Linked DNA regions of Cricetulus griseus. The protein of the gene in region 1 purifies or fractionates together with the protein of each later gene. This does not show direct contact. Links are inferred from orthologs where the notes say so. Each region holds a gene or a part of one and is shown on either strand. Other genes may lie near its edges.

Region 1 (16,156 bases):
ATTTCAAAAGGATTTATTTTTGTTTTATGAGTGTTCGCCTGCATGTGTGCAGAGGCCAGAAGAGGGCATCAGATCCCCTGAAATTGTGAGCCACTGTGTGGGTGCTGGGAGCCAAACCCAGGTCTTCTGGAAGCGCTCTTAACCGCTGAACCATCTTTCTAGCCCAGTGCCTGCTTTTCTGTGTATAATGAGTTTTCAAGGCTTGCTGTCCAAGAGCCAGACTCCTCTCATTCCACCTGCCATCTGGAGAGTTGGGAAAGCACCCTGGTGACAGACAGCACAAACCAGGAGCAGCAGTGCTGACTGTCAGCCCCATGCTGTCTGTTTAGGCCACACACCCTGCCCAGATGTGCTATGTATCTGGCCCTGAGAGCCCCTTAAAGTCAGCCTCATAGGCGATGGTCCTGCCCACACATAGTTCAATGTAGTTCACAGTCATGCTCAGTAAACATTTATTAAATTGAATTTAACTGAACTGGGTCGCATTCTAGCTCCACACGAGATTTTTTTAGTTTCTTTTTAGGTAAGATTGATTTTTTTTTAAAAAATCTAGACAAGAAAAGGCATTCTTTTTGTTTCATTGTTTTTAAACATAGTCTAAATTTAGGATACAGCTACCAATATGTTCATTACCCATAATTTTTAAGCATTCTGAGCAATGACTCATCAAAGTCCTTAAATAGATATTTGAAAAGTCACAATAGCCTTGGGAAACAAAATTAGGTTTGGCAAATACCGTGTTTTCTCTTTGCAGTCAGGAATATTCTGTCTTACTGATCTACAAGGGAGGGGTGTGCTGTATAATTTTAGCAAATTCTTTTCCCTTTGTACTAGAGTTGAAAATGAGCAAAGATCATCTGACAAATTCCTATAGGGAACCCAGCACAGCTTCCTTCTTACTAGAAACCATTGCCAGAGAACATTCCCTTTCCAAATGCAATACTGCCTCCTCTCCTGACACTGGCTCAGTGTCCTCCAGTAAGTATCTCCAGTCTGATGGCCAAAAGGTGAGGCCAGACAGAGGCATCTATACTTCAGCAGAAGATAAATGAGCTTGGTTTCTACTCCTTTCCTCCTCCTCCTCCTCCTCCTCCTCCTCCTCCTCCTCCTCCTCTTTCTTTTTGTCTCTAATGGAGTCTAGAATTTAAATCTTCCCAGAATCTTCCAGGTCTGAACTATAAAGCAGTGACGAGGTGCCTTCCACTCATCTCACCCTGCTCTAGAGCTGTCTCTTGAGTCTTGAACTTGCTTACAAATGTTAAAGAGAAGCCTCTCTCACCAGTGGGCGACTACTTTAAACAATTTGTTTATTTAGCTTATGTTTTGGGGGTAGCTTTACCAAGCCCTGCAGAAGTGGCTGAGTAAAACTCCAGCTTAAGCAGACTCTGTCGAAATATGAAAGGTAAGGACCACACCTAAGGTTGTCCTCTGACCTCTACATGCATGTCCTGACATACCACACACACACACACACACACACACACACACACACACACACACACTTTTTTTTTTTAAGAAAGATTTTAAAGAGGAAAGAGTATCCAATAAGATAAACTCTATAGCTGGTAAGTGGTACACGCCTTTAGTCTCAGCACTTGGGAAGCAGAAGTAGGCAGATCTCTGTTTACAGGACAGCCAGTAATGTTACGCAGAGAAACCCTGTCTCAAAACAAAAACAAAAACAAAAACAAAAACAAAAAAACAAAGAAACTCTGTATTTTAATAAAATACAGATAATAGGTATAATGGTTCTCAACCTCAGTCACAGTCCCCGCAGGGGTCAACATCAGATATCCTATATGTCAGATATTTACATTACAATTCATAGCAGCAGCAAAATTACATTTATGAAGTAGCAACAAAATAATTTTATGGTTGGGGTCCCCACAACATGAGGAACTGTATTAAAGGGTCACAGCATAGGAAGGTTGAGAACCACTGTCCTAAAGTAATACATTAAAACCTTGCCTTTAAAAGATCCAGGGTCCTGCGACTTCTTTTTAAAGTTTCAGTGAATAGGGGCACCCGCTGCTGAGCTTGATGAACCGAGCTACAAGTTGTCCTCTGACCTAGAGGACACACTGTGGCACATGTGAGACATGTGAGACATGGCGGCTACACTCACACTCTCACCACTTAGAAGGCTGAGAGAAAAGGGTTATATGAAGCTAGCCTGGGTTACATAGTGAGCTCTAAGTCAGCTAGAGCTATGTCATAAAACCCTGTCCAAAAAACAGCAAAATTTTAGCGAGGCAAGGTGATGTCACACGCCTTTAATCCCAGCACTCAGGAGACAGAGGCAGGTAGATCTCTTTGAGTTTGAAGCCAGCCTGGTCTACAGAATGAATTCCAGGACATCCAAGGAAAAAAACAAAAACAAAAGAAAACACATAAAGGCGTTGTCAATCCTCCAGGCCTGAATGTTTTTTCCAAAATACTCAGCACACAGTATCAGATAGAACTTAAGTCTGTTCAGTGCCTGCCATGAGAGTGATGCTCTTTTTTAGTGAGGCTTTTGCTTTTCTGCTAAATAACCTGAATCTCCTTGTCAGTTTCCTAGAGGAAGTCCTGGCTTCAGGGCTGCATAGCCGCAGCAGGGAGAGCTCACAGGCCACCTCGAGGTCAACAAGCAGAAGATGAAACGGCAATGAAGAATGACGAGAATAGCACAGCCTCCCTCTTACCCCGGCCTCAGCCCTTCCCTGCTGCCCGGGGGCCTCAGGAAGGCTCTTGTGTTTGTTGTAACTCGTGCCAGGTAACCCCAATCCCTGAACTGCTGGCACAGACACTGGAACGCCCATGATGAGCCCATCCCAACCCACTTGTGATTCTGTACCAAATAAACATGTCCTTTGTGTATTTGACAGCACAGTCACTTCAGTGTTTGATGGGCGTTGTTGAGATTGTTCTTGAGAAATGGGTTGTCAAAATAAGGAAGTCAGAAAGCCGTGTGCTGTACATGGTACCATCCCTATGCCCTGTCTTCTCTTGGTGGTCTGAGTGATAGGAGCCAGCCATGGTAAGGACCGTGGAATCAGACCTATGGGAAGTTGACAAAGCCTTTCCCTTAGATCAGGCTCAGAAAGGCAAGTCCTTCCTCTGTCCAAGTAGGAATGTTCTAGCAATATTGACCACTAAAAAACTAGCAACTACAGCTTCCTCCTCCAGTACAACTGAGGCCTGAGACTGCCCCCTACAGACACCACCTACTGAGACTAGCCTGAGACTGCCCCTACAGACACCGCCTACTGAAACTAGCCTGAGATTGCCTCTACAGAAACCACCTACTGAGACTAGCCTGAGATTGCCCCTACAGACACCACCTACTGAGACTAGCCTGAGAATGCCCCCTACAGACACCACCTACTGAGACTTGCTAGCCCCACCCTCTTTACCCCCTTGGCAGTACTTGAGGCCCTGAGGCTCCAGGTTGCTGTGGCAGTACTGAAGCTTCATCAGGGGGCACACAGAGCACCTGGCCTCAGTTTTTCTGTACCTGTGTTTGTTTCTGTTCTTCCTGCCTTCCCTTTCTGCCCCAGGAGGAGTTCCAGGACACAGCCCCTCATTTCCTGTTCACCTCAATCCTGCACCCTTCTTTGGAGAGCCATTTGCTGTGTGTTGAGAACCCATGTAGGGCTGCAATTAGAATTCAGTCTGCAGACATACGGGTGGTTTTGTTTGACTTCTTTAAGGCTCACTCATGGGGATGACTTGAGATAGTGTTATACCATACAATGAGAGCATGCCTGTACCCAGGGCACGTTTAACTGTACCAGAGCAAATGAAAACTTTCCTGAAAGTTGTAAAAAGTGATGGAATGAATAATGGCAGGAAATTACAGTGTCCTCACATAATTGGAGAAAAGGTGTCACAGGATAGTCTGTTATCACCACAAGAGTCCCTCCTGGTTCTCTGTAGAGTGTGTTTTTAAAGTTTTAAGATTGTATATGTGTTCCTGTGTGTGTGTGTGTGTGTGTGTGTGTGTGTGTGTGTGTGTGTGTGTGTGTGTGTGTCAAGCTCCCTGAGTGCTGTAAAAATGTGTAAAGGAAATCAGAAGTGCTTATTCTAAGTTCTCACTTAAGCACTGGTCTCTGGAAACAGTGCCACTTAGGATCCAAATTCAGGTGCCCATGATGTTCGCCTGGTGAGAGAAATCCACTTTACAGCAAACTGGGTAGAAGCTGGCATATGTAAACGTCTAGTGCCAAGACAAAGAAGCAAAGGTGAGGAAGATGGCCGAGCTTCTTAATAGTTCCGGTTACTGGGAGGGAGGGAGCCCCGGGGGACGGGGACCAGCCAGAGATTTATGTAACATCTTAAGACACAGACAGGCAGCAAAGGCTCTGCAGCCCACATGCATCTGCTCTAGAATCTGAAAATTACTTTGGTTATTTTTTTATGGGTCCCTCTGCCTGATGTTTCTCAGAGCACTAGCTCCTGCCTGATGCTGTGCAGAGAGCCCAGGGATACTCTAGTATCTGTAGACTAAGTGAAAGCTCCTGGGAGGAAGGCGATGAGGCAAAGTCATGAATTTCTTCTGCCCCACCCCCAGCCACAATTTATCATTCTATTTCCTCCTTGTGATGCTGACAATTGAGCTAGACCCCCCTCCTGAATGCTAGGCAAAGAGATCTACCACTGAGCCACACTCCCAGCCCCTTTGAAACTATGTAAATCAGGTGGAGACAGGAGGATTAGCACATCAAGATTAGCCTTAGCTATGTAGTAAGGCTGAAAGCAGCCTAGGCTGTGTAAGACCATATATATATATATATATATATATATATATATATATATATATATATATATTCAATCCAAACCATTCTTCTATGCCCGGCCAACAAGTTCTCGAAAGCTCCTGTAGGCTAATTTCCTCAGCTGTGTCCTCACACTGGTACATTATGCTTCCTCACATAGCCTGCATTTTCTCACTTTTTTTTTTCATCACCTTTTAAACAGGACAGTACCAAACTGAGCTGGGGAGACGGGAAGGGGATAGTTTCAGAAGTGCGCTCTGTGTGTACAAAGTCTAAAAGGTACAACGGGGTCAGAAAACCTATATTCTAATTCATGTAACAGTAGTGTGTCAATTTGACCATGTCATTTGGTTCTCCGTGCCCGACTGATCATTTCCCAAGGGATAACATTCCCATTCTATATGCCTAACAAAACGGTACTCAATATTTTTAAGTGCCAAAATAATATTTTGAAAGGATAAAGTTCTGCATCCACCAGAAAGAAAAAAAAAAATCAGTTCGTATGGCTAGGAAAGAGAATCTTACAGGATTGGGAAGGGAGATGGGTCTGAGGTTCTTTCTTGACAGATTCCAAAAAAGCCCAAACATCCTCCACGCCTCCAACCACAAACTTCGCAACCCTTCATCTTGAACGTTTCTGGAAAAAGACTATTTCCCCTGCTCCGTAGCAGGGGTCTTTACTCACTTCGTGGTTGCTGTGTTTACCATACTATACCAGGTAATAGGTTTATTGGCTTATTGTCTGGTAGTAATTGGCCCTAGGAGACAACCCTTGGGTCCTCCGGGGCTTTCATGGGTCAGCTCACCCTCCTCCATTTACCCGGCAGGGGCACGGAGACCGCCGAGTGGTGAGGAAAGCCGTCCTCAAACTTGGGCTCCCGCCCGGCCCCGTCACAAACTCAGGGCTCGGCCGGCTCGCGGGCCTCCCCGCCGCCGCACGCGTGTTTCCCGCAGGCCTCGCGGGGCGCTCGCGGCCGCCCCGGAGGAGGTCGAGACCGGAGCCTCCGGAGGGAGCTCCGTAGCCCGCGTCTGAGGGTCCGAGGCGGCCGGTCTCGCCCCGCGCCTCCGCTCCATCCGGCTCGCCACGCCTCGGGCCCGCCCCCATCGCCGCGCCTCTCGGTTATCCGCTCGCGCCTCCGCCGGGCGCCGGGTCGGAAACAAAGGCGGGGGGCGGGGAGCGCGCGGCGGCGGCGGCGGCGCCACGGTCGCCCTTCATTCGGAGCCCGCGACGTCAGCGGCGGCGGCCGGGGGCCCGTGCGGCGGGGCGGGGGCGGGGCGGGCATGGGCGGCGGGGGCAGCGAGGGCCCGGCCTGCGGGTAGCGCGAGCCGGCGAGCGAGCAGCGGGCGCGGCCCCCGATCCCGCCGGCCATGAAGAAGAGCGGCTCCGGCAAGCGGGTGAGTGCGCGGCGCGCGGACAATGGGGCCGGGGCCGGCGAGCGGGGAGCGGGCGGGCGGGCCGGCGAGCGGGCGGGCGGGGAGGGCGCGGAGACCCGCCTGAGCCGCCGCCGCTCCTCGTCTCGCCCCGCGCAGGGGCCTCCCGATGGAAACCATCACTCTGCGGCGCCCGAGAAGGTCGGCTGGGTCCGGAAATTCTGCGGGAAAGGGATTTTCAGGGAGATTTGGAAAAACCGCTATGTGGTGCTGAAAGGCGACCAGCTCTACGTCTCCGAGAAGGAGGTAGGCGCCCTTGCCCAAGCCGTCCCGACCCGGTCCCCACGGCGGCTGGTTCTCCGGCTTGCCCCGCCTCCCTCCCTGCAAGTTCAGGGGTCGCAAAAGTCCTGTATCTGCAGAGAAAAGTCACCCGAGTGACTTTACCTGGGTGGGAATTAGGAGTTTACTTAATTAAATGTGCCTGTGAGGACACCTTTCTCAGAAGTTCTGAACGTCCGCTGCCTCTTCCCCTGTTCTGGCCCCCTGAAATACGGGATTGATTTTTTTTTTTTAATTTTCTGTTGAAACACACTGCTCATCTTGTCCCTCGTCCCTTTCTGCCTTTCCCACCCCAGCCCCACCATCCTTTCCGTTCCTGTCTGTAGCAGGGGGCATATGTAGGTCTCTTGAGTAGCAAGTCACCCTAAATCATAGAAAACACAAACTGCGATCCGTCTCTGGGACCTGAGGTAGGGTAGCTGTGGATGCCAGACTTTTGTAGAAGCCAGCGTCCTGAAGTAGGCCTCTTCCTCACCTTCCACTCCACTTAATGAGGAAAAAAAACAAACAAACAAGAAATTCATATTCTGCCCACCTTTATTTGTAGAGTGGTGGAACCGAGTTAGGACTGTGAGCGCCTGTGTGCACGTGTGCTTTGACTGTAGTTGAGCATGAAGCCACAGCCCACACTGGTCAGAATCTAAAGCCAGGTCATGGAATCCAGACCCCCTTCCCCTTTTGTAACTCTTGAATCAATAACAGGAATGCTGAGAAGCCGAACTTGCTTCCCTGTGACTTTTTACAGAGCATGGTACACTGGCCCCTCAGACTGGCCCTCCCGCCCTTGACTGTGTTCCCTCACCCGGAACGGACTGGGAAGTCCTCCCCAGTTCTAACCCCTTCTGCTTTCAGCACTAGACTCTTGCATTGTGCCGTTCTGTTCGGGTAAATAAATCCTTTTATGGTGTTGAAGTAGACACACTTGCAGCCCAAGAGAAGTACTCATCTGAAAACTGTCTACTGAGACAAGTAGAGAGAACTAAATAGCGCTGAGCCGGCAGGCGAGGTCCCTCTTGAAGGGACCTAAACATAACGGTTGGAGAGTCCTGGAGCAGCTGAGGGAAGGCTTGAAGGAGACTGTACTTTGAGGGTCACTGCTACAGACAGATGCCACAGACAGCTTTCATCACAATTTTCTTGCTTTCCACTTTTTTGTTTGTTTTAAAAAGCCGCAGCAAGTGTCACTGTGTATCTCCTGTCTTCCCTGAACTTCATAATGCCAGGAAAAGCAGTGCGCAATCAGGAAGGGCTTCCTACATGTCAGAGGGAAACCAGAGGGCAGTGAAAGGCTAAAGAAACTAAACAAGGCTTTTTTTTTTTTTTTTTTTTTTTTTTTTTGGCTTGTATTTGTCCAAAAGGCAGAACCTGGGGATTGTCCAAAAGGCAGAACCTGGGGACAAAGGTGCAGGATTAATTGGCTAATAAGCTTTATGTCAAAGAAGAACTACGGAGCAGAGAGATGATAGGATGACCTCAGCCTAGAGTGGCTGCTGTCCTCTGAGTCAGGAGCATCTGACTAGTCCTGGAGCCAGATGCCCCCTACTGGGGAGGGCATTGGAAAAGAGGGAACTGCTCCTTATTATGACCCTTCTTCAGAACCAATTCCGTGGTCCAGTGGACCCGGGCTAAGGGTGAAGCTGCCAAAAGACACGGTTTATTCTGCCTGTAAACAAAAGCTGCAGTAAACCAATAGACTGACGACATTAAAACCAAGAGCATAGTATTTGCAGGTCACATGCTGATGCAAAGACGAAAACGTCCCTACCCATTGCATTGTTTCTGTCAGTCTTTCTTGGGAAAGCAAGGAAGCCCTTCCATGTGTGCTGTTGGTCATTCCCCACTCTCCAAAGGCACCCTTTAAAAGGGCTGGGATGTCTTCTAGTCAGCAGATCCACACCTCAGGGTGGCTTCCTGGGAGAGGAAGTTAGGTTGATAAAGTGATGCTTTGTGTGTATGTGGACCCCGAGAAGAAAGGGTTAATTTGGAAGATGTAGTCATAAATGAGACTTTGGGAATTTGGTGTGAGAAACAGACAGAATACAGCACAGAACAAGGTGCCAGGGGCGCCCATCTTTTCTGGGCACTGGCATTTACTTATTCTACTGCCTGACTCACCCAGTCTCCTACCCATGCCCTTTCTGACCTCTGCCAATGCCTCCTGCTCCCAGAGTGCCTTATCAGCCATGCCCAAGCAGGGGGAGCTCCCTCCCTCCCTTCCCTCAGGAAAACAGAACAAGTGAGTCTTTCCCCTGCCGCACACACCCAGCTCTTCCTCTCCAAGCCTTCTGGTCTCTGCTGATAGTCTCTTTGGGGAAGGAGCCAGAGAGGAGGGCCCCGTGTCACAGCCTGGGTTCCTGTGAATTGTTCTTGAATGTTCCTTGTGGCACCTGGTCCCACGTCCACCATAATGTTTAAGGCCTCTGGTCATTTCCCAGCCAAAAGCCCAGGAGCCCTAGAATGGGAAGAACCCTAGAGAACTGAGCCTTGCCAGACAAATGGAGATAGATGTGTATGCCCTTTGCTCCCACACAGCACGTGTAATCAGCAAATGAAAAGGATGGGCAGATCAGCTACAGGCTGGTAGAGGTCTGCCAAGGGAAACATTGGGCTACTTAGACACGTTTGCTCAGTTTCGACTTTTCCCCGGGGAAACATGACCAACTAGTTCCAGGCATATTCCCAACCAAGTAGAGGAGGGTGGCCAGCCTGCTGATCAGGAAAAGTCTCCGATAAAGTCCTTTAGAAGAGAAAGCAGGTGGGAAGGAACACTCTTGTGAACCATAATATTCCCTGAGGCCAGAAGCAGCCCTTTGCCATTCCCAGGTGTTGGCTGCCTTTTTCACCTTCTCCTGGACTGTTAATGGCCACTTGCATCTTCCTTACTTGGGATGATCGGATCAGCCTATCACCATGTCCCTTTAAGGACATGTAAAGCCGTGTCCTTCAGAAACAGAGTGAGGGTCATGGGTAGAAGGAGGCACTGGAATGGTAGCTTGTAGGGCAAAGGGGTTAAACAGAATCCCACACAGACTCAGTTCTGAGTCCCATCCCCGGTTATATGCCTTGGGTGAGATAGCTTCCTTCTGTCACCCTTCCCTTTCTTCAGATGCAGAAGCACAGTAATTTTATCCTTATCACACCCCAAAACTCCCCTAGGTAAAAGATGAGAAAAATATCCAAGAGGTGTTTGACCTGAGTGACTATGAAAAGTGTGAAGAACTCCGGAAATCTAAGAGCAGAAGCAAGAAGAACCACAGCAAGTTCACCCTGGCCCGATGCAAGCAGCCAGGCACCACGGTAGGTCTGCCGGCTTGGCAGGCTAGGTGGGGAAATGTCCCTGCAGGCTCTCCCTCGCTGTAGTCTTAGCTGCAAGGCCCAGAACAGCCCCCAGATTTGATCTCCCTCTGGCTTTTATTATCTAACTGGCTCTGCCCCCTTTCCCCCTTTACACACACACACACACACACACACACACACACACACACACACAAGCCATGCTTGTCACACTCTGTGTCTTCAGACATTTAAAGATCTCTAATACCTAAGCTTTGTCACACCTACCCTAATTGTCTGCAGTGTCAAGTTCAAATCCAGTGTCACTCTTAGCTCATCCCTGATTATGTCTAAAACAACCTGTGCATTCTGCGGGAACAGACTCAGGGTTTCTTTCAGTCATTCATGATCCCAGACGCAGAGCCACTCTTTTCCAGGAGCTGGGTGCAAGGGATGAGATTATCACATCTCTTTCTTTATTTGTAAAACCCTAGCTAAAACAAGAAACATTCCCCTCACAGGCCCCCAACCTGATCTTCCTGGCGGTGAGTCCTGAAGAAAAGGAGTCCTGGATCAACGCCCTGAGCTCTGCCATCACCAGGGCTAAGAACCGTATCCTGGATGAGGTAGGGGCCTGTTGTGGGGAAAGGGACACTAGAGCAGAAAGCAAGCTGTGACTCACTAGAGGAGGAGGGGTGTGGGGGCCCCCTCTAGCTCTCCCCAACTCTACTTTCTCTGTGTCTTTGAAGGCCCCCTTGTCCCATCTTCTCTCTGAAGTCTTTGCTCACCCTCCTCTCCAGCTTCCTGCCAGCCTTGGAGCATCTGTGTCCATAAACCCTTCTGCCTGTGACCCTGCTCAGAAATAATTGGTGGGGTGGGCTTATTCTGCAGTCCAGGCAAGTTAGGGGTCGCCCAGCTGGGCCAGAGTCCTAAAGAAAACCTGTGACTCACAGTGCATTTCTTCAGGTCACCGTTGAGGAGGACAGCTTCCTTGCCCACCCTACTCGAGACAGAGCAAAAATCCAACACTCCCGCCGCCCTCCAACTCGGGGACACCTCATGGCTGTGGTATGTAAAACTGCAAGAAAGTAAACACTGCGGGGGGGGGGGGGGGCAGCTCTGTGTCAGTCCACCTCAGCTGCGAACAAGCAGGAGCATTTGTGGGAGTCCTCCTCATAGGAGGATCAAAGGCACAGTCGGCCTGTCCACCCTCCATTCCCTGTCTGACTCCCCAAATCAAAATTGCTCACTCAGCACCTGCCCTGAGTCAGACATTGTGTTCTCAGTAACTTCTGAGGAAATGAGAAATGCCCCTAGGAAAGAGAAAAACAGAAGTGTGTGTGCAGAGTGATACATGCTGCTTGCCGTGTGGTGGCCAGCCACCCTCACGAGTGATGGTAAATGCTACTATGCCCCACAGCAAACCTTCCACTGCATGAAGTAGTTTCTCTCATTCAACCATGTTCCGGGTCTAGGGAGAGGCTGTGCCTGCAGGAGGAAGGACACAGGCTTTGGATTCAGCAGACCGGTGATCTCTAGGGCTACCAGGCTGTGAAGTGGGGTGGTGACGAGTCTTGTAGTGAGAAATGTCCAGAACGGCCCACGTGCAGCGGCATAGATGGGGCTGACTTCCCTTTACCGCTGCTACAGCATTTAGAAATAAGAGAACAAGGTCTGTTACCAAGCAAGAGTGCGGGTATCAGCGCAAGCTAAGGTGTGTGGCCAAGAGGGCGTGGATAGAGAATTCTCCTGTGTGTGTACCTTACTGTGAACTGTGGCCATCCCATGTGATACTTAAGAGTCCACAGCAGACACTTCTCAGGAGGCTTGTAGCAGAGCAGAGAACGCAGACTATGCAGGAGAAGGTATGTTACAGAAAAACAAAAGGAAGAACTTCAAGTCATCATCACAGTGATCTGAAATAGCCATGTCGAGGGGCTGAGTCAGGAGTGGGGGAGGCCAGGAAGGCATGTGCTAATGGCAGTTCCTCCCTTCTTTCACATTCTCTTTCCCAGGCCTCGACCTCTACCTCAGATGGGATGCTGACGTTAGACCTCATCCAAGAGGAAGACCCTTCCCCTGAGGAACCAGCCTCTTGTGCAGAGAACTTTCGGGTGGATCTGGACAAGTCTGTGGCCCAACTGGCTGGCAGTCGACGAAGAGCTGACTCTGACCGGATCCAGCCCTCACACCGGGCCAGCAGCCTTTCTCGGCCTTGGGAAAAACCAGACAAGGGAGCCACCTACACCCCCCAAGCCCCGAAGAAGTTGACCTCTACAGAGAAGGGCCGCTGCGCCTCCCTGGAGGAGATCCTGTCTCAGAGGGACACTGCCCCAGCCTGCAGCCCCCTTCACCTCCAAGCTGAGGAATCCCCAGCCCCCCTTCCCTCCCAGCCGGTGCAGCTGTCCCGGATCCAGGACCTGGTAGCAAGGAAACTGGAGAAGACTCAGGAGCTGCTGGCAGAGGTTCAGGGACTGGGAGACTGCAAGCGAAAGGCCAAGGACCCCCCACAGTCTCCACCCGATTCTGAGTCAGAGCAGCTGCTGCTGGAGACAGAGAGGCTACTGGGAGAGGCTTCGTCCAACTGGAGTCAGGCAAAGAGGGTCCTGCAGGAAGTCAGGGAACTGAGAGACCTGTACAGACAGATGGACCTGCAGACCCCCGACTCCCACTTCAGACAGACCTCCCAGCACAGTCAATACCGGAAGAGCCTACTGTGAAGGAGGGGGGACAGGTCTGGAATTTAGGGGGCACAGACTATCTCCAAATGTTGCAGGATAAAGCTTTTTTTATTTACCTCAATCAAAAAAAAAAAAAAAAATCAAACTCATTGCTCTTGCTGATGCCTGACCCGCTATGGCCTTTTCCTACCAACTCCCCTAGACAATTTGCTGGTCAGATCGGAGAAGGTGAGGCCTGAGGAGCTCTCACCACACGGAGTAATAAAACAGCGCTCACTGCGCACATGCCACCTGCTCCCAGGCCAGTCGGGAACAGGCGCGGATGCATACCCATCTGGGTTAGAGTGGCCCAGGAAGTGGCTTCCTCAGATGTCCCACTGCAGGTTCTCATTCTGAGGGTGAAATTTCAGCTGTGCAACTTGAGTTCTAGGGACACAGGGGCCAGTGCCACCTGTCCGTGCCATAAGAGAAGTGAAATGTACCCCAGGTCTGAGGAGGATATGTGGAGTTAACACTGGCTTCTCACCATGGTGTGTGTGTGTGTGTGAGAGAGAGAGAGAGAGAGAGAGAGAGAGAGAGAGAGAGAGAGAGAGAGAGAGAGAGAGAGAGAGAGAGAGGTGTCTCTAAGGCTGAGGCTATAGTGGTATAGTGCTTGCCTAGCACATGTGAGGCCCTTGTGCCCTCTCCAGCATTACAAAAACATTGAGCTGCCTCGGTTTTCTTATCTGAGGTGCTTTCTGTTCCTTCCACCAGAGATTCAAGGTACAAGCTTGAATAGATGAAACCGGCCTGGTCCTCTGTCTGGGCTGGAGTAGCACAGGAACTGGGGAGCAACTGATCCTGTGGAAGAACTAACCTAAAAATGAAACTGGCTTGTGATGGCAGCTGTGTGGGAAGGAGGGGAAGCCAGACCTGTACCCAGCTTCCTCTTTTTGCCAAGCAAGGGTTCCTTCTACCCGCCCTCCTCCAGCCTCCACCCTCCCAACAAACACAGCTTCAGAACAGCTCTCCCCATACCGCCACCTCCCCAACTGCCTGCTCTGTGGCAAGTCCCCCATGGCTGGCTCTCTAAGATTATTAATGCTAATGGTAAGGCCTAGAGTGGGGAACACAAGATCTGGATGAGTCATGAGATAAGAACATAGAGTCTCTAGAATCTGGCATACAGGGTTTAAAGATGGAGCATGAGTCCTTTGTCCTTGCTCCCCCTGAGGCCTCACCTCTGCTGCCAGGTCCCAGAGCTTCACTGGTGGTGAGAGGAGATAGATAGGACAAGCTAAGGGGGCTGGGGAGAGAATGTTGTTGACCTCTATTCTGTTGGGACTTAACCACCTTGTAAACAAGTTGGGGGAATCCTCCAACTAAACCATCAAAATGGGATTCTGGGTTTTCCAGCACATGTGAGTGATGGAGATTTGAACTCAGGTCCTTGAACAGCAAATGCCCTTACCACTACGCCATTCCCCCATCCTGCCCGAAGACAGGCTTTTGTTTTCTTAGTTCCCTGCTTTTCACTGCCATCAAAGTTTTCTCCATAGCTATAAAGCTATAGTTATCTAGAAACAAGGACCCCTCTTTTTTGATTTGGTTTGGTTTTTTTCAAGACTGGGTTTCTCTGTGGCTTTGGAGGCTGTCCTGGAACTAGCTCTTGTAGATCAGGCTGGTCTCGAACTCACAGAGATCCACCTGTCTCTGCCTCCCAAGTGCTGGGATTAAAGGCGTGCGCCACCAACACCCAGCTTCAAGGACCCCTCTTGAGCCAAGGAAAGTACACAAACTACCCTGTTACTGAATACCCAGGCACTCCTGGGGACAAAGTAAGGGAACCAGGCTTCCTGTCCCCTCAGAGGCTCCACTTTCCACTGCCCTAGCCCTGGTCTTGAGAGCCAGCCATTGCCACAAATACTGAAAGTTGGTTTAAAATTACACACTAAAGATGCCTTCCCATATTTTCATTTTATCAGCATTTTCCATTTTCTCTTTCTCCTCCTTGTCGCCCCCACATAACGAAGAAAAAAGGCAAAACAAGAATGACATATGTGTCCCAACATGCCAATCACAGGTGGTATCCAGGGGAGGGAAATACACACCCCCCAAAACCTCCCAGCTCCCCAGCCAGTGTTCCAGCATCATACCCTACGGTGCTAAAGTCAGCCTGGCTTGGAAACCACAGGGGGTCTGGATTCAAGCTCTGACTGTTACTTTTTGGTTAATCTGCCCTGGGTAAAACGGCTTGATTAGTATTTTCTCTGCAAACTACAAAGTTGTTGCGTAGTAAAGAACAGCCAGTGGTCTCTCCTCGTCTCTCCATTCATGGCTCCCAGGGCTGCGGTGACCAGTTTGGCTCAGTGAGTAGCGAACAGCAAAGTCAGGTGACCAGAACACAGCTTGAATGAGGCAAAGGCCACAAGGCCATCAGTACCACTTTTTCTCATCCTGGAATGGGCCACAGGCCATGCCCATCCCTCTCCGGAAGGAGGGCATTCGAGGTACCTCCAGGCACTGTGCTGAAGACAGCTGGAAGGAGGGAAGAGCGTGATTCCTGGTCTGCAACCATTTCAGAGCTTAACACAAAGCCACGTTCCACACTAGAAAAGCAACCTAAATTCTACGCTTGGGGTGGGCGGCTGCCGGCGAGATCTCTGCTGGTGTAAAAATGTTTTGAACCATGTCAGGGTCCCAGCATGCTGTTCTGGTCTCCTCCTGGGCCCTCTCCCTACTTCATTTCTCTTCCTCAGTTGCCATGTGTGGAGGAGAAGGGAAGAAGCTCTGTGGTCGCCTGGGGTGGCTTTCTGTGGCAAAGCTGCTGACAGACATTTTCATGTTCACCCTGCTTCCCGACAGCCTGGCTTCTGTCTTCTTGCCCAAGCGAACTGGAGAGGGAAACTCCTCTGGGAGGCCCAGGGATGGGAAGAGGGGGAATCCAGGACACAGAGTTGAACCAGGGTGATGAGTAGAGACAGGTAGATTGGAGAACCAGATGCTTAAGTCATAGTTAACGACAGCCCCTCAGCTTTTCCTGTTTTTCTCCATAAATTGTTGAGGAGGGTTGGAGGGAGCCGATAAAGGTGCGGTCCATAGATAGCTTCCTCCATTAGGAAGGATGTCTGCGGTGTTGGCCAGGAAAGCTAATGAGTTAATTTGCATATGATTTCCACAGCATGCCGTAAGTTGTCTAGGGTGAAAAGAAAGGGGAGGAGTGGAGCACAGGTGTCTTGACCACTCCCTCCCTACTCAACCCTCACAAGCTGGTCCCAAGCCTAGAGCTTCGATCCTAGGGCAGTAGCCCTTGTCCCATTCCCCACTCACTCCCCTAAGAACCCTGCCAACAGTAACCATGCCCGCCCCCCCAGAAACACATCCCAAAGGATCTATCTCAACCCCACAGGCAAGCAGCGTTTCTGCAACCTTTGGAGCCTGGCTACCATGCTCTCTCTCTCCCTCCCTACGCTGGGTTTCTTTTTCTGCTTTTCTCTTACCTCCCAGTCTCCCAACAAGAGCAGCCAATCCCCAGCCTGCTCTACAGCCACACCATATATGGAGAGGTTGGAAGGAAACCCGAGTAAAAGCGGGAGCGAACACACACACACACACACACACACACAGAGAGAGAGAGAGAGAGAGAGAGAGAGAGAGAGAGAGAGAGAGAGAGAGAGAGAGAGAAATGTGTTTGCTCTTTCCCACCTTTATTCACGCCCCAGGAGACCATCACTCCAACTGGTTGCCTCTGACCTA
Region 2 (15,468 bases), on another chromosome or scaffold:
CGGTCTCCTGAGTAGTTGGGGCAACAGGCACATGCCGTTGTCCTGTACCCTATTAAAGCTTTCTTTGCTGTGCTTGGGCTGAACCCAAAGCCAGACAAGAGCACCTGGTTCCTGCCCCTTGGCTAGTGTGCAATAAAGAATGCTGTGCTCTGAGCCTTCCCTCTGGAGGTGACAGCAGGCCCTGTCCCAGCAACATTAAATGGTGTCACTGGAAATTAAGTACTCCCAGCAGCCTGGGTTGACCAACTCCCTTGGTGTTAGGTAAACGTTCCGTGCAGAGGCCAGTGGTAGCAAGGTAGGTCAAGTGTGCAGTTTGGGGAGCAACCAAAAGCCATTTGTGCTGGCTCCACTCCTCTCCTTAAAGGCTGCAGAGCCACGGCCACAAGGCACACACAGTGGACTCTTAGCTAGTTGGACCTGGCCATGCATTTAAGTTGCTCTTTAAACTTACAATTTGTGACAACCAAGAATATGACACAACCAGTGGGTGGGAAGAACGGAGGGGAGAAATTTTGAATAATCTACTGGGTTTCAGAGATGAGCAGCCATTGCTCTCCAGTGTGATCTCAGGTGCCTGAGCATAGATTGAGATCCCTCTGCAGCTGATGGGACACAATGCTTGGTTGGGGTGCCCTCAGGGCCTCGTTGGGCACAGCATTAACCCAGTTGACACGGGGCAGGGAAGAGCAGTCTATTGGTGGTATTAGGACAGCCAGCTCAGGCTTATTCACTGTCCTGCTGACACAGGGTTATTCCAGGAACCCCTTTTGAGGAGTGGGAGTGCAGGGTGGGCCTGCAGGAACATTGGGACCCAGAAGGGGAATGTGATAGACTGTTGGTTGTCCCGTGGAACATTTGAGGCAGAGTCAGACTAAAATGGTCTTCATCATAAATCTGAAATTCATATTTAACTCATCATCCTACAGTGTATACACCAGCTCTCAGTGGGGAGGGTTTGTAAACAAACTTGCATGTTGAGGGGACAGCTAGTAGGCCAGTCTCAGGATTAGGGGCAGGACGGGTAGGTGGTACCCCCAGTGCACTCTGGGGCAGCTGCTCCCTGCCACACTGTATATCCTGTACTTGTTTCCAGTGATGGCCATAGTGGTGTTGCTCCAGGCTTGATTGTCTTTGATCAGAAGAAGACGGGGTGGTGCAAATAGAACTTGAAAATATGGCCCTACTTGAGAACTTATCCTTCAGGGACTCAGTGGGTGGAGAGCCAGCCTGCACAACCTATCCAAGTGCTTGTGCGCTGGGGTGTATCCTGTGTCCTGCATGATCTCCTGGCTTTCCTGTGTGCCACCAGGGGCTCAGTTGAAATGTAAGTTCTTCTGTGCTTGGTCAGAACTGGTGCGCTTCCAGAAGTCCAGGGCAGCTCTTCATGGGTGACTAGTCTCTGGTGTGAATTGCCTACTCTTTTTGACAGATACAGATAGATAGATATATATTTTGCAGGGCAGTGACCCAAGATCTTCTGGTTGTCTTTCTAACATTGCTGTGACTCTTCAGGCTGGGTTTGGGAGTTTGATTTGGCGATGGGGTTGGTTGGTTGTTATTTGAAACACTGAGGATTGATTTAGGACCTCATGCATAATAGGCAAGCACTCTGCCATTGAACTGTCTATATTCCCAGACATCTATTTTTTTCTTGAGACAAGGTCTTAAGTTACTCTGGTTGGTTTGAAATTCATTCTACAACCTAGGCTGTCTCTGACCTCCTAATACCTAGGATTATAGGACTATACCACCAGGCCTGACCATGCTGACATTGAACTCATAGGCTGAAATCCTTCTTCCCCCTCAGTGGCGAGGACTACAAATGCACACAACTGTGCCCAACTGGCAATTGACCCTCTTTCCGGCAGCTCCCATCATCTTGCCAGCCTGGCTGGTAAAGGAGAACTGGCTTCTGAAGCATCCCTCAGCACCCACTGTCTGAAGCAGTGTGGTGCATTGAGGTGCAGAGAGGGCTGGCATTGCTAGCCAATATTAGCAGACGTCTGGACATCGGTCCAGATGAAGAGAAGTAGGTGCCAGGGCTGACTTGACATGTGTTCCCTGTGCAAGGAGTCCCCAGCAGCAGCCCAATGGCTTGATTGGGGCCTGGTAACAAGCCACAGCATGAAAGGTGGGCGTGCAGGTGCCAGGGTCATTTCATTGGGCAGACCCAGCTGCCTCATGGAAGCGTGAGGCACATCCAGGGTGTCCCAGGTGGAGGACTCTAGCTATAACTGAGCAGTAGTGGGGGCTGGGAGGAGTTGTGCACCTTTGTCCTTACTGTCCAGAGAGGCAGAATGGAGGATCTTGGGAGACACCTTGCCCTAGAGTGGATTTCTGTATTCACTGCTGGCTGTTGGTGTGAACCTTGGGCAGCTTAAGGACTCTGGGCCTCAGATCTGTACTCTGTAAAACAAGGCAGTGGCTACCTCCTTCACGTCCTGGTATGAGCATTCAGGTAAACAGCATGCTTTGCCATACCTGGCCCAACATCGTAGACAATACCCAGTGGGCACTTAGACATGATAGAGAGTGATGTCACCAAAGCCAACTTTGAAAATAACCCCACTTGCTGGTTGGTTGGGTACACGGGTGCAAGTTCCCCTGGAACTGGAGTTACAGATAGTTGTAAGCTGCCATGTGGATGCTGGGAATTGAACCCGGGTCCTCTGGAAGAGCAGCCAGTGCTCTTAGCCGTTGAGCCATCTCTCCAGCCCCTGACCAAGTTCTGAAAACAAGCATAGCATGCTTTGGCTGGAGGCGTGTACTTTTTCTCTGGGACTGGTGTATATGCAAGAGATGGAGCACCCCTTGGAGCAAGATACACTTTAGTGCTAGGTAGCACTTTCCAAGCTAAGCAGTGATGCACCCCAAGGACAGCTATATGAAGCATCAGAGCCTGGTTGTCCTGGTGGTGCTAGCCTTTGGGACACAGGACCCAAACTGCTGCTAGCCCCCTCTGCTGGCAGCCCCTTTTCCAAGAGTTATTGGTGTGGGCAATGATGAGGTGGGGTCCCGTGAACCCAGACCCTAAAATGAGAAAGCCATGACATGGAGACTGGACGTGACTCAAGCACAAAGGCACCCGCTTCTTCGAGGGCTGCCGTCCCTCCCTGGAATACTTTGGTGGAAACTGATGTTTGTGTTGGGAGGAGGCAAGCCCCAGCCTGCTCCCTCAAAGGCTCTGGTGGCCATTGGCAGTACCCTGTAGTTTGTTCCAGCCACCTGAGCCACAAAGCTGTTCTCCTGTCACCCTCGGCTGTGCACCCAGGTGAAGCTGCGGAGGTGAGCTGGCTGCTCTCTGCTGTGGAAAGCGTGCGGAGAGCCACCTCTGTAGCAGATACAGCTGGCTATGAGCAGCCTGGTAATGCTTGGCCGGGGGCCTGGAAAGTGCTGGAAACTCCACCCGGCATGGGGGAGCCTGTGGGAGTTCTCCAGAGCCTGGTTACTCTTTGAGTTCTTTGCATTCCTGTGTATTTGAAGTGTTTGCCTTCTTCTCAAGACCTGAGCTGGTATTTCGTCCACCAGAAACCAATACCCGGCACTCACGTCCTCATACTCATAGACCACCCTGGTGGTCAGGTAATTAAAGCCACACCCAGGATTGGAAAGAAAGCTACATTGGAAGTCATGCTCCACGACATCTCACGACCAGGTTTCTTTATAGAGAGCCACAGTTGGTATTGGGCACATGTGGAGAGGACCAGACTCAGAATTTTGGAGGGCACTACAAGCCAGATGTCAAAGCCTGACCTTGTGGTGTCGGAACCTGAATTAGAGGTGCTACTTTAACCACCTTTCTACCTTTTTACCAGGTCCCCAGTCTGTGTGAAGATCTCTTGTCTTCTGTTGACCAACCACTGAAAATTGCCAGAGACAAGGTGGTGGGCAAGGATTACCTCTTATGCGACTACAACAGAGATGGGGACTCCTATAGGTGAGCTCATACAGCAGTGCTCGTCTCTGCGGCACCCGGGACCTTCCACACATTTCTGTGTGTCCTTCTTTTTCCTCCTCCTTTTAGCTGTCCATCCCATCCATTAACAGGCGTGTGTGGGTGCCTCCCCTGAGCACTGGACAGAGGACCTCGGTGTCTTGCAGTCTCATGGAAGAGCCATGCTGTTTCAAAGCCAGCTGCCCCATGGGGTGGCATGTCCTTCCTTCCTCTCTCTCCCTTCCTTTGCCTTCCACCATGTGGCCTGTTGTAAGAGGCCAAGTTGATATTGGTCCCTGCCCAGGAAAACACATCCAGTAGCTGATGAACTATACTGTGGTCCATACAGCCAGTTCAGAGTTGGCTCAGGACCTTGGCAGAGCCCAGAAGAAGCTGTGGTCAACTCCAGAATGACTTTGTGAAACAGATGATGCTGGGCTAGATGTTTTTAATAGACTAAAACTAGCTAACTAACTAACTAACTAACTAACTAACTAGCCAACCAACCAGCCAACCAGTTATTTTGAGGGAGTCTCACTATGTATCTTTTGCTGGCCTGGAACTCACTCTGTAGACCAGGCTGGTCTCAAACTCAGTGATCCTTGTGCCTCTGCCTCCCAAGTGCTGGGATGAAAGGTGTGAGCCACTGTACCCGGCACACTTGAGATACTTTCCCTTAAAAATTCCAAGTGTGAGAGTCCCCAGAACATTGCAGGATTTCCCTGGGCCTGCACACACTAGCTTAGTAGAGACCACACTGTGAACTCTTTGGAGAATGTTAAAGAAACAGGCAGAGTGACTGGGAGCAGCAGTGTGGGCTCCGCATCAGCATTGGGACTTTAGCCAATCCCTTGTCATCTCTGCTCTACTGAACAGAAACAGTAGTGGTCATTCATCCCACAGAGCATGCAGAAGCATCATTCTGTAAGTGTCACCTGTGCTCCAGGTACTGTTCACGGCTTCTTTTCCTGTGAGGTCCAGACAGGTCATAACATAAACACATGCATAAAAGATTGCAGGCCGGGCGGTGGTGGCGCACGCCTTTAATCCCAACACTCGGGAGGCAGAGGCAGGTGGATCTCTGTGAGTTCGAGACCAGCCTGGTCTACAAGAGCTAGTTCCAGGACAGCCTCCAAAGCCACAGAGAAACCCTGTCTCGAAAAACCAAAATAAATAAATAAATAAATATAGCAAACATACTGTTAAAGAGAACAGGACAAGAGAGGGAGAGGCAGAGGGGGTAGCCAGGGTGTAGGTGGAATTTTCTGTTCTGCCAGCTAGCTCCCAGATAACCACAGAGACTTATTAATTATAAATGCTTGCCCAATAGCTTAGGCTTGTTACTAACTATTACAACTTAAATTAACTCGTTTCTTTTTTTCTTTTTTTAAGATTTTATTTATTATGTATACAGTCTTGTGCCTGCACGCCAGCAGAGGGCACCAGATCTCATTCAGGGTGGTTGTGAGCCACCATGTGGGTGCTGGGAATTGAACTCAGAACCTCTGGAAGAACAGTCAGTGCTCTTAACCGCTGAGTCATCTCCCCAGCCCCTAACTCATGTTTCTTATCTACATTCTATCACGTGGCTTGGTACCTTTCTTCAACACAGCTTCTCCCTGAGTGTCCTGGCAACTACACCCTTCTTCACCCCAGTGCTCTCTCCCTGTCCACAAGTCTCGCCCAACACTTTCCTACCTAGATATTGGCCATTTAGGGGAGTGCCCTGAAAGTGACAAACAACCCTGTGGTAGGCCAAGGGAGCACATGGCCACAGAAAAAAACCCTCACCAGGTTCAGTTAGGGCTTCCTGGGAGTCTTGTCAGTGCTGTTTCTGAACACACCAGGTAAGGTCGCTGCTATGCTGGAGCTCAGGGAAAGACAAAATGAAGTCCCGGCTTGTGTGCCCCTCCCACTAGGGCGTCATCCCTTCCTGGGCACCCTGCAGGCCCCACTACAGCTCCAGGGGGCTCTAGGGACCAAGGCCTCACGGGGGAGCAGAGGGGGTAAGGAGAGAGCTTGACTTCCCTCTCCCTTTCTGGATCTGAAACTTCAAGGTCCTCTGATTTTCTCCACACATTTCCATCCTGTGTTTGATCGTTTGCTTAAATAAGATCCGTATGACACGGCTGCTGCCAGCAGCACTGCTTGAAACCTGTTAGCTGAAACAAAAAGCCTTCTGGGGAAATGAAAGGCCTGACTTTTGAAATCTAAGCATTCCTGTCCATCTGTCTTTTCTCAAATGGCCTCCATTTAAGCTCTTAAATGTGTTCTGAGTGCCCCTTCCACTAAGAATATTCTGGGTAATGTTATGATTTTTTTTCCCCCAGCTACAATTACCCCGGCTCCAGGCCTAACGGCTTGAAATGCCGTCGTCTGTGAGGCAGGAGGACCACTTAACAGGCTTCTTACACTTCAGGCCCCAGTCTGCATGGGATGGGTGATTGTGTCCTAGCAGGTTGCTTAGATTTTTAACCACATTTATCCCCCCCCCACTCTGTGTGTGTGTGTGTGTGTGTGTGTGTGTGTGTGTGTGTGTGTGTGTGTACATGTGTACATGTGTACATGTGTACATGTGTACATGTGCACACACTCGAGGTCAGAACCTAAAGGTTTTCTCCTTGCACCATGTGGGTTTCAGGTATTGAACTCAGGTCATCAGGCTTGTCAGCAAGTGTCACCTTGCAGGTCCAGGTTGTCTTTCAAAAAGAGTAAAAGGCTGGGTCTTCTGTGCCCATGTGAAGGCGATGGTGGGGGGAGGGGGGAGGGGGGGAGATGTGGACTCACCCTGCTTACAGATATGTCAGGGATTCTCAGAGGAAGCAGGGTTGGGGGGAGGTCCAGCTCATAGTTGGTTCTTGCACACTGTCCCCCAGTAGAAGAGCCAAACCTCGCTGACTAGTAAGTAGTGGCAGCTGCCAGCACCCTTCAGCTGTCCTCTGAGATCTGAGGAAAGATGCCTTTCTGTGTGTCCGCCCTTCCTTCCTTCCTTCCTTCCTTTCTTCCTTCCTTCCTTCCTTCCTTCCTTCCTTCCTTCCTTCCTTCCTTCCTCTTCCTCTTCTTCTTCCTCTTCCTCTTCGTCTTTCTTTCCCTTTTTCCCTTGTTTTGTTGTATTTGGAGATAGGGCCTCGTTAGATAGCTCAGGCTAGACTCAAGCTTGATCTTCCTGTACCTCTTACAGCTGCCAAGACTGCAAGCATGTAATGTCACCCTAGCTCCATCCCTGTCTGTTGGCCCGAAGGACCCTGCAGAGTTTGTCAGGTGCCACAACGGCCCCTTCATCAAAGACTCAAGCTAGTTCTGGTCTTGGGGTAGCCCAGGCTGTTCCCCCTTCTCCATCAGTCCTTAGGTCTTCAGTCTGTTGGTAGGGGTGGGCAGGCTTGAGCTTGGAAAGGATATTTCTTGTTTGGGAATTGAGCCTGAGGACTTATCATGGACAGGTTTCTTTGTGTGGGCAAGCACATTCGCAGCCCCCTTCCCCCCCCACACACTCCTTTGGAAACTAGCAAGGAGACCTTCTTAAAATGCCTCCCATTGCTCTTGGTGATCTAATGTTCTCCTGGTGTGGGAAAAGGTGCTTTTCAAAGCAGCAGGTTGGGGCCTGGTTCTCTTTACTTCCTGTGTGCTTAGCCCTGTGTGCTGGGTTCATTGACTGTGTTCCCTAAGGAGCGAGGCACCTCCTGCCTGCTTCTCTAACTGACAGCAATCTTCTTCATACTTATAGTCTGAGGAGCCTCCAGAAAGTCAGGGAGACATGGGCACTGGCTGACCACTTTGATGGTGAACACAGGGAAACACTGGTATTTGTGGCCACGGCACTTGCCATTCTTTCTATCTGTTCCTCAAAACAGCCCAAGGGTAGTGAATGGTAGCCTTGTTTCCCACAGGAGAAAGTGAGGTTGCAGCTAAGGTGTTTGCTGGTGTTAACAGCTGCATTTAGCCTGTCTGCTGACATCTGACCCTTTGCTCTATAAGCCTCTCCAGAAAACTTCTTGGTGACTTGGCCCCTGAACTTGAGGCAGCTGAGCTTGGACCCTCTGTTTACAGGCCAGGGGACTCGGAATGATTCACAGGACCATCTCCTACTTTGCTACCTTCCAGGTCACCGTGGAGTAACAAGTATGATCCTCCTTTGGAAGATGGGGCCATGCCTTCTGCTCGACTGAGAAAGCTGGAGGTGGAGGCCAACAATGCCTTCGACCAATACCGAGACCTGTGAGTTACTCTGCACATTAGCTCTCGGGGCTTTCATGGGGGGAAATCTTCTGTGAGAGCGTGACTAAGCTGAGCAGCCTCCCTGCTCTGCTGCCTGGTCTCCTAACTTGCTAAAGTCGGAGCCACCTGAGGCAGACATGACCATATTATTCTGTTACCATTCACAATAGTGGCAGGTGAGTCGGGAGAGCACATATGTGTTTACAGGGCATGTTTACACAGGGCATGTGTTTTGCGTTCCCACTGTCTCAGGTCCTCTCAAATGAATAGCTATTTCAGTGGGAGTAAAGTGTCGGATGCTACAGTGGTGCAGTCACCACATAGCGCTCACACAGAGAGAATGAGGAAGTTTGTCCAAGGCAGGGGCAAAGCTAAGACTCACACATGGGTGATCACTCACAAATACGCAGTTAAGATACAGTCTCTCTCTGTAGCTTGGGCAAACTGAGTTTGTGATCATGTGTGGAGATTACAGGTGTATGAGAACACACCACAGCTCTTAGATAGAACTCCATTTGGACTGGAGCTTGGGGGCCCAAGCTGACTGCTCAGTTGCCAAAGCAGAATGAACTGGGGTGTCATGCAGTGGGACATGGCAACCCCAACCCCTAACACCCTTTTTACCTCCCTTCCTTCCTTTGGTGCGCGTGTGTGAGGTATGAATGAGTGTGTGCGTGTGTGTGTGCGTGTGTGTGTGTGTGTGTGTGTGTGTGTGTGTGTGTGTGTGTGTGTGTGTGAATATGGACACATGCACACATGGAGGCCAGGGGTCATCGTCACATGTCCTCCACTCTCACACACACACCCCCCACAGACACACACACGGTTTCTCTGTATAGCCCCCACTGTCCTGAACTCACTCTGTAGACCAGACTGGCTTTGAATTCAGACAGGCACCTGCCTCTGCCTCCTGAGTGCTGGGATTGAAGATGTGCACCACACTCTCCATTCTATTTATTGAAACGGTCTCACTGAACCTGTTTGGAAACACTCATTGGCTAACAAGTGCCAAGAATCCTCCTTATCTCGCACCCACCCACCCAAGTGCTCGCGTTATAGGCTCACACTACCATGCCCAGCTTTGTTTTTCCTGAGTGCTGAGGGTTGAAACTCAGATTCCCGTGCTTGCATAGCCAGCATCTCACCAACAAGTCACCTCCTTTAGCACCAGATAAACATCTGAGTCCAAAGCTGATCAGGACATCAGCACAAGAAAATCTGCTCCTTTTGATCCCTTTTTGTTCCAGTTTTGCAACTCTTCAAGGAAGGGCTCCAGAGAAGGTTGTGTTTAATGAGTAGAATCTCATTTCAGGTTAGGTTCTCTACTAGAAATATAGCAATACAAAGTTAGTAGAAATCCCATCCCCATCCCCATCTGCCCCACTCCCCCCCAAATCTGGGACAAGGGTTGGCACACTCCCATGAAGGGACAGGTGAGTGATCACATTAGGCTTGCAGGCCACAGACAGCTGATCTTGGTTTTGTCTTTTTGTATGCCACCTTACAAGATGTAAAACTCACTTCTTGAGCCCTGATGTAGGTGGATTCAACCTCCATCTCTACTTGATTCAACCCTGGCCTAGCATAGAGGAAGAAAAAAAGGAGCTGAGAGAAACAGTGAATTTGAACAATGCCCTGAAGTTAGAAGACAAACCCAGGGCTCCAGCGGGCAGACTATGGATGGTCTCCCATTCATTCACACCAGTTTGCTGAAACTCACTTAGGAGGAAAAGGGTTCCTTCTTAGCCTGACACAGACGGTTACCAGAGAGCCATCACCACATGGTCCCAAACACTTCAGTGGCCCCCCACATACTTGTGTGTATAGCAGCCATCTTGATGTCTTATATGGTGAGGATTTACATATGATGCCTTTTTTATAATTTATTTCTGTGTGCATTGGTGTTTTGCCTGCATGTGTGTCTGTGTGAGGATGTCAGATCCCCTGGAATAGGAGGTACAGTTGTGAATTGCCATGTGGGTGCTGGGAATTGAACTCGGGTCCTCTGGAAGAACAGCTAATGCTCTTAGCTACCAAGTCATCTTTCTAGGAAAGGTGACACAGAGGAAGACACAGATACTGAGGCTCCCACAACTCACAGGGCATGCCGGCAGAGAGCAGGGATTCAATCTCCTTTGCTTGACATTTGTGCCAATGTTACTTCTCATGGTTCAAATGGGGTTTCCTATCTGATGGGTCTTACATCTCCTGTTTGGCCACTCTGTGGGATCGCTCCTCCTGGTGGTGCTGAAAACCTGCTGTCTGTGCTTTAGTTTTTCACTCTCTGATTTCACCTTGCCATAGAAGCAGCTTCAAATAAATGAACTCTTCACGCTGAGGCCCAAGTAGAGTCAGTTTCATGTTGCAGTAACATTGCTAGTAAGACAGCATTGGTAGTAAGTCACTGTCTGGTGACCCTGGACTGTGGCCATCTTCTTTAGGGACTATCCCCTCCCAGAAGTGAATCGACATTCAGAATTGCTTTCATCCACGTTCACGGTCAGAGCGTGGCAGAACTACGGGGAGAAAGACCATGCTGTTCTCCTTTGCTTTCTGCTGCTGCGGTGAACACTGACGAAAGCCAGCTTTGGAGAGGAGGGGGTTTGTCTGTCTCAGGGGTTGCAGTTAATCACTGAGGGAAGAGCCAGGAGTCCCGGCAGAGACTATGGAGGAATGCTGCTTATTGGCTTGATGATCGTAGTTACCTTTCTTATATAATCCAGGACCACCTTCTGAAGGGTGGCATTTCCTACAGTGGCCTGGGCCCTCCAGCTACTCCCACATAAATCAGTAATCAAGAAGATGGCCCCACAGACTTGCCCACAGCCAGTCTGATGGAGGCAATCCCTCAATTGAGGTTTCCTCTTCTTCAGTTGACAAATTTGAGTCAAGTTAATAAAAACTAACCAGGACATATCCTCATCCAACTCCAGAGTCGTGTGTGTGTCTGGGTGTGTGTGTGTGTGTGTGTGTGTGTGTGTGTGTGTTGTGTGTGTGTTTGTTTTGGTTCTTCGAGACAGGTGTCTAGAAAGCCTTTGTGTGGCGCTGAGGACTTTTCCACATTGTTGCTGGTGTGCAGGGATGGCAAACCATGCCTTTCTCTCTTCATTGCTACCCTTCTCTGCCATTGACCTCCGCCCACAGGAAGTCTTAGTTGTCACCCCATGAATGAAGCCACAGAGCCCTTCCAGGGACTCGAGCACTTGTTTTTTTTTCATGTTGGCAAACACCAAACACACAGGTCCTCTGGGAGGAGACATCCCACCCAGTGCTAGACTGTTCCAAGGGTCCAGGAAGGCAGGCTGGCTCCAGACCTGGTGGAAATACACACATATTCCTCAAAGCCACCCCTTCTAGAAAGAAAAGGAACAAGTGAACATGTGAGCCTGTGAACATGAGAACAGTACCTCCAAGCAAGCCATGCTGGACCCAGGAAGGCTGGGTAACTGAAGCTGCTGTGCTGTAGGTGGGGCGTGTGACAGTCAAGCCCACCTTTAACCTCTGACTGTCTCCAGTAGTTCAGAGTTCTTGGGTCATGATAGATCACAGAGGAGAACCCATGCTTGACCTTTGCTCAAGGCTTCAACTCCTCCCTACCGCATGAGGAGCTTCCAAGCTTCGGACACAGCAGAGTCACAGTCTCCTCATGGAGAACACTGGGCTGCTGTGAACCCTCAGGGAGTCTCACCCTCCTTTATATTGGGAAGGGCATGCTGAGCCTGCTCATACAGGGGTTTGGCACACATTCCAAACAGAATACAGGGGCTTAGATGCCATGGTCCTGCTGCCCATGAGACCGTGTGCAGCAGCATCACTGCGCGTTTGGTTGCTTACCTGCTATGACCTTGCCTTTATTGCTAGTTTTCCTTAGAAGATGACAGAAGGAGAGGGCAGGGAGTGTGTGGGGCTGCCTCAGCCCTCTCAGAGATGGGAAGTGCTCAGGGCCTCCCTTAGGGTTCTCTGCCATGAGATCCAAGAAAAGACTAGATTCTGTCTTCAGGCCTCAGCTTTGATCCCAGGTCTGTAAAGGCTTTGACTTTGCAGGGAATTGGAGTTAATCACCCGCACATGGAGTCCGTCTGGTCAGAGTGGCAGCTGGGGCCAGGGTGGCTGCAATGCAGGCCCTCTGGCTTAGAACTCCCATGGGGATGTAGCACACATGCAGGCCTGTGAACGGTTCTCAATTAGGGATAAAGGGCTAGCAGCCCCCAAGGTGGACAAGGGCAAGTAGGACTGAGGGAGGCAAGCTGGGTTCCTCCCTGGCTGCCTTTGAAGTGCCTTGGTTCCCGCTTTCCCTGCTCCCTGCCCCCTTCCTCACTATTCCTCTCCAGCCTCCCCTCCCCCCACTGCTTTCTTTGCTGTCCTGGACAGAAATAATCACGATTTTTTTTTCCCTTCCCTCCTGGAGAGTTCCTGTGACAGCAGTACCCTAACAGCCTAGGTTTCAGATACAGGGTTGATTTGTGAAGCTGCCCAGGATGCCAGGTGTGCTTTGCCTCAGGGGCAGACTATAAGGTACCACCTGCTCCAAGTCGTCTCGGATTCCATCACTTCCACCCTGGCCCCGGAATCCCAGCTGTTCATCTCTCTCTCCCAAGTCCCAAGGTAGCTTTCTGCCCATGGTGGTACAGCCAGCTCCATGTAGGGAATGTGTGAGATGAAAGATAGGAGTTGCAAATGGGAGCGGTGACGGCAAGCTCATGGATTGCCGTGCGCTCTCTTTCCCAGCAGAGGCCATAGTCAGCTCTTCTAGGCCCAGATTGTGCCTAGTTCACTTTCAGGCTTCACTACATGGCCTGAGACCTGTCTTTCTGGGGAGGAACCTGGAATGGACCCTCCAGTACAGGGCAATGGCTCCTCTCTGTTGGGAACAGGGCCATCTCACTAGCCAGAGCCACCACAGTCGACTGATAGGAGCCCAAACTCATCACCTTGACCTTTCGGGTTCCCAGAGAAGACAGGGGACCTGCCCCTCTCCAGCTCTCTGGTTAGATCTGGCCTGGCCTCCAGTTCTGCCCCAAACCAGATGTTCTAACTGAAGGGGGGCTGGCACCACTCACTTCCAGAGCTCATTACTCCCATCTGCACCAGACATCTTGCCCTGTGTGCTGCGATCCCTGGCTCTTAGCTCAGAGCAGATAATACCTTCAAACATGCGGTTGCAATTTATTGGCCTTATAAGTTAATTTTAGGGGGTGTGCAATTGATTGAAATCAAAACTTAATGAAGGCCAGAGGCTGGGGGTCTGGGTTCGGGTGGGAAGGAGCCCTCTGTTCTTCCTTGTCTGGGGTCGGAGAGGATCTTCAAAAGCTGTAATTAGCTTTTCTAATCAACCCTGCTTTCCTGAAAGAACTTACAGAGTAGAACAAGGCTGTCGTTCCTGTGGCTGTCCCAGAAGCCCATGGGCCTCTGCAGGAGCAGTTGGCGTGCTTGGTAGATGGCCTTTCTGGGCTCCCTAGCTCCTCTTTCCTCTCTGTAGCCATCTTAGAGCTGTGGCTGTTTCTGCGCCTTCCTAGTACCTGTGACATTGGAACAACCCTGGCCAAGGGAGGGAGGGCACCCATATTTGTGTCTGAGAACCTTGGTATCCCGGAACCCTGAAACTACATTCCTCTGGGCTGTAGGCTCTGAGGTACAGCCCCTTCTGGGTATAGGCATTCATTGTCCACTCCTGTGGGACAGTGGGAGGCGGCGGGGAGAGAGAGAAACTCTGCAAAGATGGGAAGCCATGTTTGAGCTGAGGGATGCCTCCCCAGCCCAAGGTACAGACACCACCTGTGAAATCCCCACCTGTCTCCATGAGTTATCACAGAGTTGGGGGACCGTGGCTCTTTTCTCCCCTTGACCACTGACTCGATGTACAGGTTGACCTCTTGCCACACATACTTACTCTGCTTGCAGCAGTTACCCATGTGGATGCCTTCTCTGTGTCCGACAGTGGCCTTGGCATAGTGACAGGCTGTGTCATCCGTGTCGCTGGCCATGCTGTGCTTAGCCGACACCTACATAGCAAGGTATCAAATACATGTCTGGCAACTAGAGTTAATGATTCTTATGAAATCTTCCCTTGGGGTACAGTGAGGACACAGGTAGGCACTGACGTTTCCATCATGGTGACTGAATAGGCCATTCAGCAGTTCGTTAGAGAAAGCACCCGTGGCCAGGGTCAGGCTTTGTAGGTCCAGCCAAGGTAGAGTCAGAACCAGCCCTGAAGAAGCATGTACAAAAGAGCTACACACAGATGGATAGATGTCTGTACTGTCCTGTAAGTGCTGAGATGGGTCCCAGAACACACAGAGGGACTCACGAGCAGGGAACCAGGCTGTAGAAAGTGGCTGACCGACTGGCAGCCGGGGTGATTATCAGGTCTGTCCTGTGCAGATAGAGAGCTGGCTGGAGACTGTGGGCCTCCAGAAAGCCTGCTGGTAAGGCTAGCCTCGGCTGGTGCTAGATCTTCAACTCTGGGAGCAGCCTGCCATCCCCCTAATGAGGCATAAACTGTTGAATGGCTTATGCAGAAGCTGCCCATCCCTTCTGAGAGCCCAAAGCCTCACAAACTCTACACCTGGCTCCACTGCAAAGGGGCCAAGAGGAGGAAGGCGCGAGCTGGTTGTGCCTGGGTCCCCAGCCTTCTCCCTTTGATGCTCCGGCTCTGCCCCTCTTTCCATTCTGTGAGTGCTGGGTCCTGTGGCCCCCCCTAGCATATCCTTGAGTCATGCATGGTGTTGCATAGCTGTAAACTTGGCAAGACAGCCCATGACTGTGCTCTGGGCAAGGCATGGGCCTGGTGTCAAAGCAGTTCTGGGCAGTTGTACTCCCCATGGTTGGATCAGGACAGAAACTGAGGAAAGGTTCATGGTCCCATAGGCACACGCTCAAGGTTGGGTTCTGAAGAGTTCCATGGATATGACATGGAGGCTGGAGCAGAGAGGCCCAGGGAAGAAAGACTGGCTGGTTAGTCCCAAGCTCAGGCTCTTCCCTCCATCTGGCCAGGTGAGGTTTGTAGTTCAGGGCCCTATGCCTTTCACCACCAGGAATGTCAGCCCAGGACCTTGGTCTTGGGTTCCGAGCTCCCACAGGAGATCAGGGAGCAGTCAGTGTGAGGCAATGGGGAATGTGCAGGAAAATACTAGAGCTGGTGAGACCAGCATGGTAGTGGCCCTCTCCTGTCACTTCACATGGGTCTGTGTCCTTTTCCTTGCTTGGTTCCAAAAGTCTGCAGAGGTCCTGAGACAGGCAGTAGTTGAGCACCTTGTGCCCAGAGACAGCATAGTTCTCTTGCTTTGGACTTTGGTAAGGTGATTTGTATTTGATTTTAA

The links.
Region 2: the proteins of Plekho1 (region 1) and Capzb purify together in Homo sapiens (co-immunoprecipitation; 3 studies listed by BioGRID and IntAct, counting the BioPlex papers as one, with this or other methods). This does not show direct contact. The link is inferred for Cricetulus griseus from reciprocal best matches to the Homo sapiens genes PLEKHO1 and CAPZB.

Annotation. Positions count from the first base shown.
Region 1 is NW_023276806.1:60,519,423-60,535,578, forward strand, and holds Plekho1 (pleckstrin homology domain-containing family O member 1), read left to right. Parts: upstream 1-5,999; 5' UTR 6,000-6,125; coding exon 6,126-6,152; intron 6,153-6,287; coding exon 6,288-6,434; intron 6,435-7,002; exon of another isoform or gene 7,003-8,378; intron 8,379-8,729; exon of another isoform or gene 8,730-9,623; coding exon 9,624-9,764; exon of another isoform or gene 9,765-10,261; coding exon 10,262-10,366; exon of another isoform or gene 10,367-10,693; coding exon of another isoform or gene 10,694-10,706; coding exon 10,707-10,808; exon of another isoform or gene 10,809-11,384; intron 11,385-11,501; exon of another isoform or gene 11,502-11,755; coding exon 11,756-12,460; 3' UTR 12,461-12,715; downstream 12,716-16,156. Other genes in the region: Vps45 (vacuolar protein sorting-associated protein 45), read left to right, coding at 2,553-2,640; uncharacterized protein LOC113833187, read right to left, coding at 5,578-5,862. UniProt on the Homo sapiens protein: Plays a role in the regulation of the actin cytoskeleton through its interactions with actin capping protein (CP).
Region 2 is NC_048595.1:14,040,241-14,055,708, reverse strand, and holds part of Capzb (F-actin-capping protein subunit beta), read left to right. Parts: intron 1-3,815; coding exon 3,816-3,937; intron 3,938-8,035; coding exon 8,036-8,149; intron 8,150-15,468. UniProt on the Homo sapiens protein: F-actin-capping proteins bind in a Ca(2+)-independent manner to the fast growing ends of actin filaments (barbed end) thereby blocking the exchange of subunits at these ends.